3 linked regions of the Drosophila melanogaster genome follow. The gene in region 1 interacts genetically with each later gene. Each region holds a gene or a part of one and is shown on either strand. Other genes may lie near its edges. The genes, in order: jeb, rl and cnk.

What was found.
Region 2: of jeb (region 1) and rl, changing one suppresses a phenotype caused by changing the other (phenotypic suppression), as found in Drosophila melanogaster (one study listed by BioGRID).
Region 3: of jeb (region 1) and cnk, changing one suppresses a phenotype caused by changing the other (phenotypic suppression), as found in Drosophila melanogaster (one study listed by BioGRID).

What each region holds. Positions count from the first base shown.
Region 1 is NT_033778.4:12,116,229-12,121,181, forward strand, and holds the start of jeb (jelly belly), read right to left. Parts: upstream 3,113-4,953; 5' UTR 1,833-3,112; coding exon 371-1,832; intron 1-370.
Region 2 is NT_033778.4:1,070,022-1,075,054, reverse strand, and holds the start of rl (rolled), read right to left. Parts: upstream 3,081-5,033; 5' UTR 3,010-3,080; exon of another isoform or gene 2,805-3,009; 5' UTR 2,774-2,804; coding exon 2,616-2,773; intron 784-2,615; exon of another isoform or gene 714-783; coding exon of another isoform or gene 691-713; intron 1-690. UniProt on the Drosophila melanogaster protein: Serine/threonine kinase which acts as an essential component of the MAP kinase signal transduction pathway to regulate proliferation, differentiation and effect cell fate decisions in various tissues.
Region 3 is NT_033778.4:17,413,937-17,421,969, forward strand, and holds cnk (connector enhancer of ksr), read right to left. Parts: upstream 6,072-8,033; 5' UTR 5,533-6,071; coding exon 5,475-5,532; intron 5,312-5,474; coding exon 5,148-5,311; intron 5,089-5,147; coding exon 637-5,088; 3' UTR 34-636; downstream 1-33. Other genes in the region: l(2)k01209 (lethal (2) k01209), read left to right, coding at 7,751-8,010.

The sequences.
Region 1 (4,953 bases):
ACACTGCGCTTTAATACAGAACTACTTTGCGAGATATTCGATCTGATTTAATAGTCATATTAATATTAAATCAAAATTCTTAATTTCTAACCTGATTTGATGACCTAAAGAACTTGGCTGCAAACCAACTATTTCCTGCTTTTAATTTTGACTAACTATTTTAGAATTTCGAAAGTTCACTCTAATTAGATTTCATTGAGGTTTTATTTCTTGCGCTGGGTGCATGTTCGATTGGATCGAATTAATGCCAGACAGTCGGCTAAAGGTCAGCGTTGAAGTCGGCTAGGTTCCAACGATTCCTCCCCCATAGTCCACCATTGAAACCCCAGCTCAAGCCTCTATATAATGGGAATTTATAGGTATAACTCACCGATTTGTGGCACATCGTATTGCCGTTGACCGCGGGCGGTGCGCAGCATCAGCTGGCTGGCTATGCTGTGTGAAATCGGTGGCTGCGCTGAGTAACCGCCTCCTGGCGATCCCATGGATCCCGCCGATCCGGAACCGGATCGCTTATGGCTGGGATCCTTTTTGTCCTGCTGCGACTGTTGCTCCACCTGCTGCTGTTTAGGTAGTCCATCGCCGGCGGCTTGTTTGCCGGAGGAAGAAGTGGCGGAGGAGACGGCCGAGGATGCACTGCTACCTAGCTCGCTATGTGGCTTCTCGTTATCCTTGGAGCCGGAGCGAGTGGATGGTTTCAGGTGCTTGCTGGCCGTGGCCTCCGAGTTGGCGGACAGCGATAGTTTGCCATTGCGCTGTGGCTTGAAGTGCTGGGCGAAGATCTGGCGCTGCAGCTGCTTTTCCGCCTCAGGATTATGGGCAATGCCCTGGCCATTTCGTTTCCTCGCCCACTTTTGCTGCACCCTTATGTTGTAGTTGCCCGGGTTGTGGATTTTGCCGGTGTGCATCGCCTTGAAGGGGGCATCTCGCTGCTCCTGTTCCTGCTCGAAGAGCTGCTGCAGGGAGTCGGGTGCACCCAGCTCCAATTGCTCCAGCGTGCGATAGGGATTCTCCGGAAGGGTTTCGTCCTCCAGGCCGTGATATTGATAGGCATCCAGTTCACGCAGCAACTCATCCTCGCCCAAGTGCGGCTCCTGCGGTTCCTGCTCCAGTTCCGAGAAGTCATCAAAGTCGCCGAACGAGTGCAGCGGTTCGTAGAGAGCCTCCACCTGCTCCTCCCTCTCCGCTGGCTGCACCACTCTTCCGTAGTATTTAACGGGTCTATTCTCCAGATCCCTCAGCTGCTCATAATCCTGTTCCAGGGTAACCGGCGTCGGTGGTTGCTTCTGCACATTACCGAAGATGTAGCCCCGTGCGGCCTGCTGCAACAGCGCCGGATAGTCGCCCACTTCCAGCTCCTCGCTGGGCTGCATCTGTATCCGGCCGGCAATGAAGGGATGACCGCGATGATTACTGCCCGCCGGCGGCTGTTCCGCCGTCTGCTTGGCGCGGGCCAGGAGCATTAGTCGCTCTCGCTCCAGCTGGGCCATATCCGCTATCTCCTTGTTCAGCCGCACGGTGGTGGCATCGAAGGCGGCCGCTGCGGCGGACCGATGGCCATGCGGCGAGGATCCACCGCCGGGCGGAGATCCTCCGGGATGCTGTTGGTGCTGCTGCTGCTGCGAGGGTGCGGTCTGCCAGGCGGCGGCTACTCCCGTCGAGGGTCCAACGGGATGACTGGGCACCTGCACTGCCTTGGCTTCGCCCAGCGACTTCTCGCCGTTCCCATTCCCGTTCCCGTTGCCATTTCCGTTTCCGCTCAGATGGAGGGCATAGAGGCCGCCCTGTATGAGCAGGACGCAGAAGAGCGTCTGGGCCAGCGAGCAGAACATTTTCCGTTTGTTGGTCTGGCGCAGCTTCTCGATTAGACGGCTTATCTTGGCGGTTTCGGGTTTACCAGGGGGTTTACCAAGGGGAAAATACAGTTAGTTTGCTAGTCCGGGGGGATGGTGTTTGGGGGTGGGGGCGGGAGTTATAGAGACTGGTGGCAGGTGGTTTTTCGGGGCTGGTGGCGGTGAATGGTGGTGAGGGAAAGTCCCGATATCAATGTTTCTCTCTGGACTTTCGATGCTTTGCACACACGGCTTTTGTGGGTCTTCAGGCCCCACACCGCTGACCAACACTGTGCCGGCCTAAGCCTGGCATTGCACTACACTGGCCTGCACCGAACGAAGTTTTTTCGAAAATTTCGAACTTTTCCAAATTTGTGTGTGTGTGTTTTTTTTTTCTTTTTCAAACTTTTTGGCTATCGCGTTTTTGTGGATGCCTTGCAACGACCGTTGTTTATGGTTTCGTTATTTTTCGATATTATCTGTATATTTTTTCGGGCACTTAACTTGGCGTTCTTCTTTTCACTGGCCAGTCCACTCGATTTCGATTTAGACCTTAGGCTTATTAGTTAGTTTTTGTTCGCGGCACTTTGGTTTCTTGGGTATATAATTTTCTTGTGTTGTTATTCAGCTTTCGTTTGTGGTGTGAAAACTTTCCCTTGTTCTGGGTGAGTGATGTTTTAGTGGACTAGCTTTGCTACTAGTGTGTATATTTTTTTTTTTTTTTGTTATATTCTTTTTTATCGCCTGGCTCCAAGAGTGTTCCGCACGTTTGAACCGACGAGCAAGGACTCGTCGTGTCGTCTCAGCAGGATTTGCCTGTTTGTCTGCCTTTTGCTTGGCCGCCTGACGCGTGTCCCTCTGCCACTGCCTCTGCCTCGGTCGGCGTCGCGGTCGCTGTCGCTGCCCGCGTCGACGTCGCTGCCGCTCCTCAAGGCGTTTCGGATTTCCACTTTATGTGGCAGTCGTTGTCGTAGTCGCACTCGTACACCCACTCCCTGCACGCCCCGCCTCGAATTTCACTCCTCGGACGAACCGCTGGCTGCTGGGCTGGCTACTCTCCGCTCTCTCTCTCTCTGGCTCCTTTCTCCTTTCTCCTTGCTCTTTCTCCGTGCTCCTGGCTCCTGGCTCCTGGCTCCCTGCTCCTTTCGCCGCTTTCTCTGCTTTCTCCTGCTGCTCCTGCTGCTACTGCTACTGCTGCTTCTGGGCTTCCTCAGCTCCAGCTTGTGTGCTCTCGGTCAGCGGGAAAAACTCGAGCTCGAAACGACTGTTCGCTCTATACTGAGCACTGCGGCCGCTCAACCACTTGTTTTCAACCAGCCTCATGTGTAGAGTTTTTCCCGAAGCCTAACGGGATGAGAGAAAGTGAGAGAGAGTGCCTGCTACTGCGCACTGTGCACCGTTACCGGCATCATTGACTCCCTGTTTTCCATTTCCCAGATGCCATATGATTTGCGGTCGCCAGTTTGCGTGGGTTGTTCAACATCCGCATCGGAGTCCTTCGTTCCGGCGGGGCATTTCCCCAGTTCGACTCGAATTTGGGTAATCCCATTTAGCTGTCATCAGCTGTGGCTCCACTAATCCCAACAACAGCCGAGGATTCAATCACTGAATGCACTTTTCACTGGGCTTACCCGGAATCGCGTTGTGTTTTCTTGCCGGAAAAAATCAATTGTGGGAAAATTAAGTGATACCACAAATCTGGTTTCTCCCGAGCTAAGGTTTGTGATTTCATTAATGGGCAACTAATGGGATTTTCACTGAAATCACTTACCTAATGCATGTCGACCAACATTTTTGTAACCCTTTTGTAACAGAAGATGTTTGTATATAAGTTTCAAACATTTAACAACCTTTTTAACAACCACATTTTTAAGAAATCTTTCATTTTAATGTTCGTCATAATTACCGTAAAATATATTCCTAATTATTGAACAAATTAATACTGCAATACTTAAAGACGGTTAGTAGAAACCAAATAAACTAAATGAAGTCACGATATATAAATGCAGTTATAATAACTATAATAGATTCTGATCATAACAGCCAGTGCAAAAGATTTGGCAACAACTTATGTGCCATAACTTATGATAACTTAGTACATTTCCCGTGATATTTACAAGCCCCTTTCTTATGGAATATGCCGATCGACCGCCCAACGAACTAGCGGTACATTTCCCCTACATTTCAAAAGTCGAAAACGATTGACAACCACACTGGCGAGATACGTACATACATACCTACATGTACATATATCTACTGGCAAAATACAACTCACGCAGCAGCAGCGCCGAGGATATATTGTGAATAAAAATGAGCACATAGATTGCAAGTCATTAAAGCTGGCGAACCGAATACGAATCGGGAAAGGGGAGGACGCAGAGCCGAAGGACCCTTCGATTCGGGTGTAAGCCAACATGAATGAAGGAGAATGTCCTGTGGCAGAGGCGTCATCGTTGCTTGCAGCCCGCTTTTCGCTTTTCGTTTTTCGATTTTTGCCATTGTTCTTGCTGTTGCACACAACAAACAGCTGAAGGCTGGGGGCGGGGGTGGGGAGGCGTGGCAGACCGAGGACGAAGACGAGTCCTTTTGTCGTCACAATGTCTGTGGCTTTTACGTTTTACGAGCGAGCTATAATATATTCGCCGTGCCAACGTAATGATATCCGAGCCGAGGTGAAATTGAATCGCGAGCTTAAGCTACGTGAATGGACTTGTTCCACGGTGTGGAGAGTTTTGAATGGACGAAAAGGTGAATAGTCGCCATGTATAATCGAAAAAGTTTCGGAGTCGAGCGTAAAAAGAAGGTGAGAATACAACTGGAGAATACAGTCATTCATAGCAATATTTTATCAATCAAGTCTGAACATAGAAAATTAAGTTAATACAGTAAATTAATTATTTATTAAGAAAGGGCTATAAGATAAACTTAATGTACGCTTGTAAACTCCTACATGACTATATTTAGTATTTCACCATAATGTTTGCTTTACTGCTGTAATATAACTAAATTCGATATTATTTCGATCTCCAAGCCATATCTCTCTGTTTGAAAGTCTACATGCAAAAAGCCGGCTTGGCCTCTCAATTTGTTGCACGACCCGAAAGTCTCCGGCTCGTTTGGA
Region 2 (5,033 bases), about 11 Mb from region 1:
TAATAAGCATTGGAACAAATTTTCAACAGGCGAAAGCCTTGGATTGCTATAAGAAAGTGGACAAGAAAAAAAAAGAAGCAGCGGGTTCATTAGAAATACATTATGATTTGAAACGCTTAATGAATATAGTAAATGAATGTATAGTAAACCATGTTATTAATAACGCCACAAGAGAGCGTGAAAAAAGAGAGCATGGAGATCAATACAATTAATGTGTCCAGTCGGTGTTGAGATCAACACAGGGAACCACCACAAACTTTTGTAAACTCATTTAAGTTTAATATTACACTCACATATTTCGCGAAATATTATTTTAAAATAAACATTTATAATAATACAACGTCGTCGCAGAAATGAATTTCGTTAAACAGGACCCTGGGACAATTTTTAGGGCTTAGTAGGAATTATTTACAAAATCACTCATAATTTAAGTGGCATGCAAAGAGTAATAACTTTTGTGCTATGTAGTTAAAGAAATTACAAATAACTCTGGTGTGGAAAACAAAGATAAGAAAGAAAAGAAAGGCAAAAAAAATTGCAAAGAAAACAATTGGTGTGATATTAATCCTGATAAAGAATATATATACTTTATGTGGTCGGAAACGCTTTCTTCTGCCTGTCACATACATTTCAACGAATCTAGTAAAATACGCATGTAAAATAATTAGGAATGATATCGCTATGGAAGACCTAATAACTAAGGCAGACTCCATAGATGTTCTCCAACAGTCCCAAGATGGATTAGGTCCAAGAAATGTTCGTCATTAAGGATTTATGCACATTCTGTTAAAATAAATTAGAACAAATAATAGGATATGGTGGTGAATTCCGATTTTTTATAGCAGAACAGCGACAAATAAGGAATATATTTAAGTATTCCTTTGTACAGCCAAATAGCTATAAACTTAAAAGAAGAACTTTTTTGGACCGATTCAATGCGATCCGATTGAGGTACGTATACTCAAGAATCGAACGGACTAGCGAAATGAATAAGGTTTTGGTGCTGTAATGATCATTTAATTCCTTTGACCTCCTTTTTATTAAACCAAGCACACCCCTGCCTTATTGACAATAGTCGAAATATGATCTGAAAAACTTTAGTTTAAGGTCCAGAAGAACACTAAAATCAGCAACCAATGTTATATCAAAGACACTAGAATAACAAGATGCGTAACGGCCATACATTGGTTTGCAACTATGCAGCCACACATATGGCTCGATATCCAATTAAATAATAAGCTATAGCGTAACAAGCAACGCCAGCAAAATTAAATTTAGCCGCCGGGCTTCGAATTCCTGTCCGCCCTAAATTTCCTCACCAATACCAATACCAATCAACATCTCATAATATCTATCCACAATAAGAAACCCTCTCACCAACCACTTCCCAATTATTTAACTTATATGGATGCCCACTCACATCGGCATATCCGCCAACGAATACGCCGACAAAACAGCTAAAGATGCCCACAGATACGCCCTTGTACACTCCTCAAATTACAACTGTGACGACTTTTCTCAATTTTCCCTGGTATGAGCTCATCCTTCAAGCTACAACACTACATAACACAATAAGAAAACACAAATCCTAATAAAAAGGCTCAGGCTTGGACACACCAACCTTACCAATGCCCACTACATGAACTGACCCCTCCCCAAAATATGCTCTCTTCAGTCAATCAACCCCATTTGCTACCCACCTCAAAACTCCAACCTAATCAAAAAACATAAAACTATAATTTAAAATTAAAAGAAACTAAAAAAAAAAACAAAATGTCCGCTTTTTAAATATTTTATAAGAATATAACAAAATAATTCAACTAAATATTTTTTATTTTTAAATACTGAAAAATGAAATGTTGCCATGCCCACTCTCCGCCCAAAACTGCAACTGCAACTTTTAAAAAATGTGTTGATTTTTTATTTTTGAAAATGTAGGTTCCAAATTTACTTTTAATGAATGAATGAATAATCCCTAATTATGTCCAAAAGCATTAGAAAAAGGTATAAAGGCACCGAGTAAAAGAGTACTTTAACAAGCAAATCCAAGTTTAGCGAGAAATTGTATTGCGTTGAACAACCGATCGACCGGTAAACGAAAGTTTTGTGCGCAGCGTTTAAAAGCAAGCAATATGACTCAGAAGCTATTGACTTTCCTTTATTTATAAAGTCCATCGGCCAATTTAGGCTTTTGCATGAAAACAAACTCGGTTGTGTCGACCCTTAAAGATTGATTTTGTCAAAGAAAAAGCAAAACTAAGCCACGTTTAGAGAAAAAGAAAGAAATCAAAAATTTGAGAAACTATTTCGTTGTTAAGTGTTTCACAGCTTAGTACTGCGTATGATTGATGTGAATAAATTTAATGCATTTTCGAAAAATAACATTGATTCAGCAATACCATGTATGCGAACTTACAGCAAAGGACTTGAACAAAATGTATTACTTGATATAAAATCAAGAGAACACGGTTCTGAGTATTACTGCATTTCGGAAGGAGAACCGCAAGATAAAAAAAAAACTATGAATAATGGACAAAGGAACAACAAGAAAGAGGTGTGCAAACACTGTAGATTAAAAACGGCTTCAAAAATAAAAATAGGTATTAGGTACTTACACAACCATGCCATAAGCTCCTTCACCTATATAGGCGAGTTTAATATACCTAGGACCAACTTCAAATATTTGTCCCCTTATAACTTCAGCATTAGATTGAGGAACTTCCGTAGATCCTGTACCATTAACTACTGATCCGCTCGAATTAAATTCCTCCATGACTAACGTTTCTTCTGGAAAACTTGAAATACTACTAAAGATGTTATGATACAAAATACACCGTATCTGCAAAATTCGCAATGTATGTATGCGTGGATTGTAATAACACTTTTACAACTGAATATGTCCCACTTTATCTTATTTAAGTGAACAGCAATAAGTGCAAAATCTTTATTTACTTTATTATGAATTTAACCAAAAGTCTATAACTTAAGATATGAATATATAAACTCAACTTTTTTTTACTCTTTAGACAAATGCGTAAATATGATTTATCAAAATCGACGGCGTAAAACATTAATAATATGTTAAGATAACGACACTGGTCAATGTTTATCCGATCCAATTATAATCGGATCCCAAAAGGTACATCAGTCTTTTGGCAGCCACAATTTCCACAATTAATATTAAATAATATAATAATTTAAAAATGATCAGTCATTGCGTAAGACATTTTTTTATTTAAAAATTGGTATTAAAGGAGGAAATTGATCATCACATATTAACCTGATGTTGGGTTAAATATATTTTTGGACATTTTTCAATGGGAGCGCAGAAATAAAAACCTTTTGACTTAGTGTTATATTCCTAATTTAAGCTATTATTGCCCATTAAAATAAAACAAGAAAGCAGGCATGTGCCATCTTCTGCTGTGTGACCTAACAGATGTAAATTCAGCGTAAACGGAACTAAAAGTACTGTTCCCACCATTAAGACGTGACTACAAACCAATGTAGAATATACATATTAACACGAAAGCAGAAATTAAATGTTTAATTAAGAGAAAACAAATCCTTTAATTGCTTTTTTATTATATTATAATAAAATTTCTTAACAGCTCACTACTCAGAAGCATATACAAATGTACAGCTAACTAAATGTAGTTTGCCCACTACAGAAAATTCAGCAGTGTTGCAACGGAGGATGATTGATGATCGAACATTCTTTTTAAACAAAATACTATCAGATGTCAAAAACTTTATATTTTTACATTAAAAAATCCGAATGTACTTAAATATATTTGTTACTCTTAAGGTGATATCCGAAGTAAATGCTACGTACGCCAAGTATATAAGTTTACAGAAATCGTGAAAAATATGTCTATGACAGCTATTTATTTTATGAATTAATGAAATACCATGGTTTTAGGTATAAGTGTAGGTTTAATTTTTTTAATTAATGTAGGTTTATTTTATAACATGACCTTTTCCTTATTAACAATTTATTTCATTCTTAGAATACATTTCAGTTTAACTCGCATGACGGAGCGGGTACAAGTGTAGCACCGCAAAGAGCGACTGCAAAGCTAGCACATTGTTTAAAATGCCCAACTCAGTTGATGTCTAGTTTTAGTATATAGTTTAGTTTAGTTTGTGTATGGAGTTTTGGGATTTTGTTTAACAGCCGTCAGACTGCAAAACTTGTGTTTGGTCGGCGCTGCCGCAGTCCAGACGTCAGTCGTTGCCGTTGTTGGCGCAATAAGTTGCGCAGGAACCAGTGATTTTGATATAATTCATTTGTATTATCTATTAAAGAAGAAGTGGGTCCAACGTGAATGGACTTAGAGAGCACAGAAAGAACTTATTAAGACTCATAAATAAATTCAAATATATCTTTACTTTAAAAATTTCAACTTTAATTTCCTTTATCATTTTTCTTTTGTTCAATTTTAATTGTCAGGGAAAACAATGCTTAAGAACTTTGGTTTACCCTTGGACACAATTATTTTCAAAAATGAAGACATTCTTAAATTAAGTAATGGTGAGGTAAAATTATATGGAGGAACACAGTAAGCGTCCAACTTCGGTTGATCATCTGTCCCTGTCGAATTTCTTAACTTAACTTTGTAAATTACAGTTTGTGTTTGTTAGTTTCAAACGCTTTGGAATATAGAGATGCAAACTTTTAAGAAAACTCTAACCCCGGTTCACTAATTTCGTTCTGGAAAAGTGTTTTATGGACAGATGTAAGTTCTTTCGAGAATAACTCGTTAAAAAAAGCTGCAGCTTCACTTAAACTTATTTATTTAGGTATTAAAGGCTTGTCAAAATACTTATGCCAATACAAAAAATAATCATATTACATTAACTTGTCTATATCGTTTGTTAATTTTTATGTTTATATTACTTACACCCAACAAATAAAAAATAATCATTATTATCATATTAAGTCATTTTAAAATTTTACTGCCAACAGTGTGTGTAGTGCCGACTAGTGTGTTCTGTGACTGAGCAGAAATGTTTGGTGGCGATAGCAGCTA
Region 3 (8,033 bases), 5.3 Mb from region 1:
CTTGAAAAATCCCAAAATAAAAAGATCGTTATTCTATTATGTACAGTTGACTTTATTCGTATGCATGTATATTTCGTGTAATTGTGTATATATATATTTCTTGCATTCCGCTACAACATTTCTGGCTCCATTGGCGTCGCTGGATGCCATTACAATAATATCTCATTTCGCATAATAATATATGTATATTACACGCAATCTAGACACAAACTGTTGAGCAAATCAAACAGCTCGGATTAACTTGGTTAATCGCGTACAAAGGCAAATCATAAAGAACCGTCTTTGTTCGATGCACAGACTTCTAAAGTTATTCTCCATTTTCGCTATAATTCATTGTTTTGCTTGCGTGACTACATGTGTAAAACATTTTGCCTAGAACCGAAATACAATGCAAATAAGGCAGATTAAACATTTACATCTAAGTGGGTTTCGAATCGAAGGGATTGCAGGTATGCGTGTGTTTGTTTCTGGTGGACAGACAGGGAAGACGATCAAAATGAACAAGTTGTATACCTAAATCGTACGAGAATATCGCTATATATAATATATATATATATATCTATATGCGTGTGTATAAATACATAAGTAAACGGGGGCTAATCCCCGCGAGCATTCACAATAGTTTTCATCACACATCTAGGTCTGATGGTGTTCGCCGCCACTGGGACTGCTGTTGGTGTTGGTGTTGTTATTGGTGTTATTATTGTTGTTGTTGTTGTTGGTGGTGGTGGTGCTGGCGGTGGCACTGGTGGCACCACTGCTGCTGGGCGTCCGCATCACGATGCGGGACAAGCTGGTATCGCTGAGCGAGTAGATTTCCGGCTCAAAGACAGGCGGACACTCCATATTTGGATAGTCCGGCGTTGCCGCCTTCGAATCCACAGATCCCGAACTGGACACTTTTGGGGTGGCCGCACACTCTGATATCGTTGCCTCCGCTTGCTCCTCCTCTCTCTGCCTGCTGGTGTTGACGGGAGGCGGTGGCGCTGGGGGCAACGGCGGCTGCAAGCCCTCCGACGAGCACAAATTAGTGGTCGAGGTGGTTAGTATGCCAGGTCCACGGTAACTTCGATATCCCGCCTGATTGTGCGTGGGCAGGGTGATTTGGGAGAAGATCTCCTGATCGCAATCGGGATCCGCACTGCTTGGTGGCGTTACTGCCTGCTGCTGATGGTGATGGTGCCCGAACAGCGTGCGATGCAGCAGCGGTGAGCCCAGGAAACGATTCTCCTTGGAGGGCTTCGCCGGCGTGCCACCCGATATGGAGAGTTTCGAAAAGATTGGTATCGGGGCCGAGTTCTTGCGATGCGCATCGTACTTGGTGCCCACTATCTTGTCTCGCAGATCCTGATTGTACGTCTGGCTTTTCTTGATGCTGCTGCCGCTGCCGATTATGGTGACTCCATTGCCTACGGCTCCATCCAAGGCGTGATTCGATTTGGACTTCTTGTTCAGCGGCAGCGTCATAGTCATCGCATGACCCGGCCCACAGCCACTGCCCGCGGAGCCAGTTGAGTGCTTGGAAAAGGGAAACCGACGATCGCCGCTAGACTTTCCTTTGGACTTCTTTTGATCCGCACCGGATCCGGAACTCTTGCCGCTGCCGCCGCTGCTGTTCTTGTGCAGGAAACTGGAGAGCTGTAACTGCTGTGAGCGCAAGAAGTGCTTGGCCTTGCTGCTATGTTGCTGCTGCGTCTGCTGATGTTGTAGCTGCTGCTGCTGTTGCACATGCTGCAGGTGGTGCTGGTGATGATGATGATGATGGTGGTGCTCTTGCCGGCTGATGGAGCTAGTGCTCGGCTCATCCCCACATATCAGCTCGTAACCAAAGTCGCGCAACTTCTGACCTTCCTTAGTTCTGGTTCTCTTAATACTCTCGTCGTCAGGCTTAAAACTGATCTCGTAGTCGGGTGTTTTGGGCAGACTCACGCTCTGGATCTTGGGCAACTTTTCCAGCGGCTTTGTCACGCTGCTGCTCATGGCGCTCTGCTGACTGGCCGTGGATTCCGTCCGTGCGTGCTTGTGCTTCTCCACACCCAAGTGCACTCGATTGTTGTACATTTCCTGGGCCTCCTCCTCCTGTTTGCGCAGCATCAGATCCTTAAGCGTCACAAAGCCCTGTATATTATGGCCATGGTCGAGTGTATTACCCACACTCATCTTGGGGAGTAGTGTTTTCGAGGTATGGAAATCGAATTCCACCAAATTCGGATTTGAGGCGTGCAAGAAGTTGAATGGTGCCTTCTTCAAACTCGACTTGCTACTGGGACTCTGGCTCTGGCTCTGACTTGGACTCTCCTCGGAGCTCTGATGCTGCAGCGATGTGGGAGTGGCTGTAGGCGTGGGCGTTGGCGCTGGCGACGCGGGCGGACCCAGAATCGAAGCAGATAATGATACGGCAGACTCGGTTCCACTGACCACCGAACTCCTACTTGAGCTACGCGACAGTTTAGGACCCACCAAAGGTGGAATCTGTGTCGGCGGCATTGCGGGATCATGGTAGCCCGGTGTATTGGCACCAATCTGAATGCCAAAACTTCCGCCTGGCACCTTCCTATAGCTGCGGTATTGCTCCGTTGGCACAGGGATGTCGCTCGACGGTTTCGCTGCACTGCTCTTGAATGTATTCGTAAATTTGCGAAACGAGTCCAAGTAGCCGCGTTCATGCTTAATGGGTGCAGAGGAAGGTGGTGTTCCGCCAGATAGTGTCATCGACATGGACATTGACTCCTTGTTGCCTTGCGGCGAGGGCGTGCTTAAATTCTGGATCACAAGGGCATCGCATTCCTCGCCTGAGCTATCGTTCTCCGAATACAAATCCTTTGCGTCACCACCGCCTTTTGAACCCGTACTAGGCGGCACTTTGAGCGAAGCCTGGCGCAAGAAGTCCACCCATTGGTTAAGTGCGTCCAGCGACTCGGCCGCAAAGTAGAAGCTCTTGGCCGTGTGGTAAACTTTAAAGGCATGCGGTTTGGAGTGCACTTCTTTTGCCAATGAAACCGTAAAGCCCGGTAAAAATATTACCAAGCTGGCGCTGGTACTCTGCTTACTGCGAAATCCGTACAGTATCGTATCCAGCATCACGAAATAGATTCTCGCCCAGTAAGTCACTCCGCGATGATTTTTCTTGCGCCTGTACAGATGACCTTGGATATCCCCAGTCCCCAACAGCTTGAGATTTGTGTTCCGCCGCTTGGCCATTAAGCTGTGCTTCTTTTTAAGGGTCAGTGTCCGGGATTTGCTGGGCGTATGAAGCTCACTGATCTCCGATGGATCAACTGCGGCTGGTACAGGTACTGGCACGGGAATGGAGATACTGGTGATACTACTAGCCGGCTGCATGCTGGCTGGTTTTGGTGGAGGTGGAGGCACCGCCGGTGGCGTCATTTCCCTTTGCTTGCGGGGTCGCGGTGGCGGTGCTGGCGGTGTGACAAGCAGGAACTCCTTTCTTGGCTCAATCGCTGGCGGCGTATCCGATTCTTCACCCGAATTATCGTATGCCGGAGTACTATGACTCTTGTCTAATCGGCCCCTTCGACCTTGCTGCAACAAAGGCATGTTAATGGCCTCGGCCAGGGGCAAGTCCTGACCTTTTGTAGCCAGATTAATTGCCTCTAGGAGCTCCTCTGCGTTTTCTGTTTTGCAGTTGCGCAGCGTTTCCAAGGCGTCCTCGTCTCCCTCATCCGCAAAGGGAATCGGTTCAAAGGTCTCCAGTATGGTGTTCTCAACGTTACAGATAAATTTTTCATTCTTCATCACATAATCTTCCTTGGCGTCGAACCGAACTACTTTGCTGACACCCGGCTTGTAACGATCCACGAGGAATTCGCGCTGCGAGTCCTCCGTCAGCTGCTTTAGTTTTCGCGCCTCATGAAACATTCGCCTGGCCTTGTCCGTGGAGGTATCGCCCGCAATCCCAATGCAAGTGGTCGGCCTTGCTGCCATCTCTAGGCCATAACCGAAGGATATCGACTTATCCCGTATACTGGGCGAGCCAGGGTCGCAATTGGTGGGCGAACCAATTCCTGGCTTTCTTTCGTGCCACGATGGAACGACTAGATCCGAGTTTTTCAGGCTAAGATACTCGCATCCACAAATAGTGTTTCTTCGTTGGAGCAAAGCTCTTGGCTTTGGGTAATACAAACGGATCTCCCGTGCGGCTAGCTTGGGATCCGTTGGTGTTGGAATATCACTGCAACTGGAATCAGAGTCGGAGGCAGAGGACACTGGATTGGCCTTGGTAAGTACCTCCCTCTTCTCACTGCTTAGGGATTTACTGGGATCTGGCACCGCGCTTCCTGTTCCTCCTGTTGCCAGTTGCTCCGTGTCCAGGGTTAAAAATGCAGCACGGGGACTTGGCATCTGTGCCGCCCAGCGGGCGGCCATATTCCTCTTCTTGCTGGGCAACCTGTACGGCTGCATATAGATCTGTCCAAACATCTTTGTGTGCTTCGGCCGTTTCTTCACCGTCAGCACCACATCTGGAAGTGCTTCCCTCAGATGCTCCAGTACTGTGCGATGCTGCCAGCCCACAACGGTCTGGTAGTTGATCTGCACAATCTCGTCGCCATCTTCGATTTTTCCGGAATTGTGAGCTGGCGAGTTGTACTTGATATCCGTGACACGGTGAATGCCATTATAACTGGACTCTATGTTGAAACCCAACTCGGATTCGCGTTTTTTAAGGGTGACAAGGTTCAGAGAGGCTGGCTGCAGTACCATGGGATCAGATATGTCCTGGATTACAAAGTTGGCAAGATTCTCGAGCCGTTCCGCTGACTGTCGAATCGCTGGCACCGGCTGCAGGGCAAAACGATCACGGTGGGCAATTGTGGCCAGCTCCAGGCCGCATTTGAGCACATTGCCACAATACTCGCGGTACATCTCCTGCTTACGGAACGGTGTTCGCTCCAGGCTGCCCACCAATGGCTTTAGAGTAGCTATCGTCCTGGTAATATCGTGCAGTATCCGGGTATCGATCTTAGTGCTCTCCGCATGATTCCTGGCCAGTTCGCGATGCAGATTCTTAGCTGCCGTGGCCACATGCAAGGCCATGAACTGCAGATTGTCGTTTTTCAGGTGATAATGCTGGAATATCAAGCTCAATTAACGGGTTTGTATGTCACAATATTTGTTTGGGGTCTCACGAAGTTTCTTAAGTTCTCCACCGCCTCCAGCACGATCTCCTGATGGCCAATGCGCAGCATGCCCAGATTCTCCAGCTCGTATGGCCGTATGTTGAGCAACGCCCGTCCGCCGATCTCCTGCTTGGAGAACTCGTACAAATACCCCTTCATAGACTCATCCAGACCTGCGAGAATCAGGAAAACATAATTATTATGATGTGCCTGTTGAAACCTTGAACAAAGCGGAAATTCTTGTTGCACTTGTTGTTGCTGCTGCTTTTTGGGGCAGTGGCTGCGAGATGCAGTTTTTTTTTTCTCAGCTGCGCTTTCCTTGACCTCGAGCATTACCTTTTATCCAGTCGGTGACCTGGTCGGGCGTCCACTCGGCGATGTTGATGTAGGCCATCGCTGCTGCTGCTGATGATCCGCGCTGGGCCGCACCTACGGCATATTATCAATTCGTGCTGCAAAAACACTCGAACCAAGTTCAGAATTGCTATATTGTTGCGTCTCTCTGGTCCGGAGTGACCATCTTTTAGAGCTCGAACAATACTCGGTGCTCGTTAAATACTATCGAACTAGCGTGGCAATCGATTATTTAATGCATTTTAAAACTGAACAAAATGCAATTTATTCAAAGTTTCTTTAAGGGACAGAACAAGAGGAAAGAAAACTATAAATTATGATACTACTACATACTACTTTCTCCATCCAAGATAGCCAGGAAACAGCCACATGTTTCTGTATGTGTTTATTTTTATAGTCTTAATTAATATGAATTTGGCTTGCAGTGCAAGAGAGTAAGAGTAACAGTTATCGATAGAGGACCAACAAAAAATAATCGAATTGGTAATTGTCTCATGTTGATATATTTTCCGAGCACTACCGCTATTTACAACCTTTTATTTGTTAGTACCTAAAGATCATGTTGTAAGCTAATCTTTTAGAAACCACAAAGTTTTATGTAAAATATTCACTTATATTGACACAAGCTCGAAGTAATAATTATCAAACATTTAAAAACCCCGCTTCGGATTTAGCCATTCACATTCGAATTTACTGCAACCCAACAGCCAACAGCGCTTCGCAACACTGTCGCCGCCCCAATCAAACAGCTGAGCGCCTTGCGAATGGAATTGAATTGCCCCAAAACATATAAATAAATGCCTCAATGACAGCATCAAATGGAGATAAACAAGGCAATGAGCGTCCCTCCGCTCCAGTGCCTTTCCCCAGCTGACAATTAGCACTTTACTTGACCATTCAAGCTCGGGTAGATGTATACATATGTATGTATACGAAGGCGGCGCACGTTTTTCCAACGCAATGCCTTCAGAAACGAATCAGTCACTTGCTCGGAGAGGGAGAGGCACGACGAAGTAAATCACCGCGTGTTTTTTTCTAATCGCTGCAACTGGCTGCTGCAATCACTATTCTCTTGTCGAAATGTCTGTGACCCAGACGAAACAAATCAAGTTCTACAACCCATCGAGTTCCGCTAGCTCCGACAGGTAACGAACGACTTTTTAATGCCGCATTAATTCACGCACGGCCAAAAGTAAAGTGTGAAAATCCAACAGAAGTCATTAGAATGTGATACACACTCACACACACACCCGCGCACAAACATATCTAAAGAGCATGTGCTCCAAGTCATTCATCGTATGTACGTACGTACCTACTTACATGTGTGCGTCGTGGGGCCTCTAATCACGCAATATAAATAAATGCTGGGAAAATGGCATAGGGCCTGCGTTCGCAAACACCACTACATGTGCAAACGCATAACATGTGATAAATTCAATTTCGATATAGTCGCCGGTTGCATCGGATCGGAAGAGAGTGTGAGAGAGAAGGCAAAGCGAACACCCTGCGAGAACAGTTACAAGCTAGGGATGGGCGCGTCAGCGAGTAACTTGTAATGTTGCAGTTTGAAAAAATAATATTCATACCACAGAAACATTATTAAAATAACTTTGGTGCGATCCGTGGAATGCTATAAAAAATTACTTGTGTATAAGTATATGTAGCGTGAAATATTTTATGATTTTATGCGCCTAAAAATTAGAATATTTTTTTCTCTAACAAATTAAATATCCTTCACTTAACAAAAGTAAAAGAGACATTTGTTATGCAAATTTGGCTAAAATGTAGAGCACATCTTCGACTGAGTCGTGTCACGCCAAACCTCATGTACCACATGCCCACCTCTATGAAGGCTTGCGACAACAACAATGCAGAGACGACGCCGGCAGAGGAAACCGCAGCGCAGCGCAGCTTTTTAACCTTAGCTGCCTTAACACTTTTTCTTGTCATTCAATCCCCAAACGCCGCTCACCTCGCACTTCTCGCTACACCTTTGGCTTAATTTTTTGTTTTCATTAGTTATCGAATAAATATTGGCCGCAACGCAAAAGGTGAATCGCTGCGTACGAAATAAAAACTCTAAATCACATGTGATCCACGCCGGCGGCGATTCGCGTGAGCGTTGTGTGAGTGAGTGACCCATTTTGGCTTGGCATCGCCGGTTGCTGTGTTCTTGCTGCCTCCACATCCAAGTTCTCACGCCCACGCCGACGGACTGAGTGATTCAAAATCGCTGGCAGATCGGGATCGGGCTAAAAATGAGCAGCATCACGTTTTTGTGCAGCAAGTCGGGCCACAACACCAACAACAACAGCATTAATAGTAGCAATAACGATGTTCCAAAAGGGGCAAAAGCGAACTCAGCATTTGCAGCCGCATCCGCCGGTTTACTAACCATCGCAAACCACCAGCAGCAACAGCTACTTCAGCAACCACATCAACAGCAGCAGCAACAACAACAACAGCATCATCAGCAGTCAAAGGTTAAGGCTATAGCAGCCAAAACCAATGGTCACATGTAATTCATTGCATTTTCCCCAT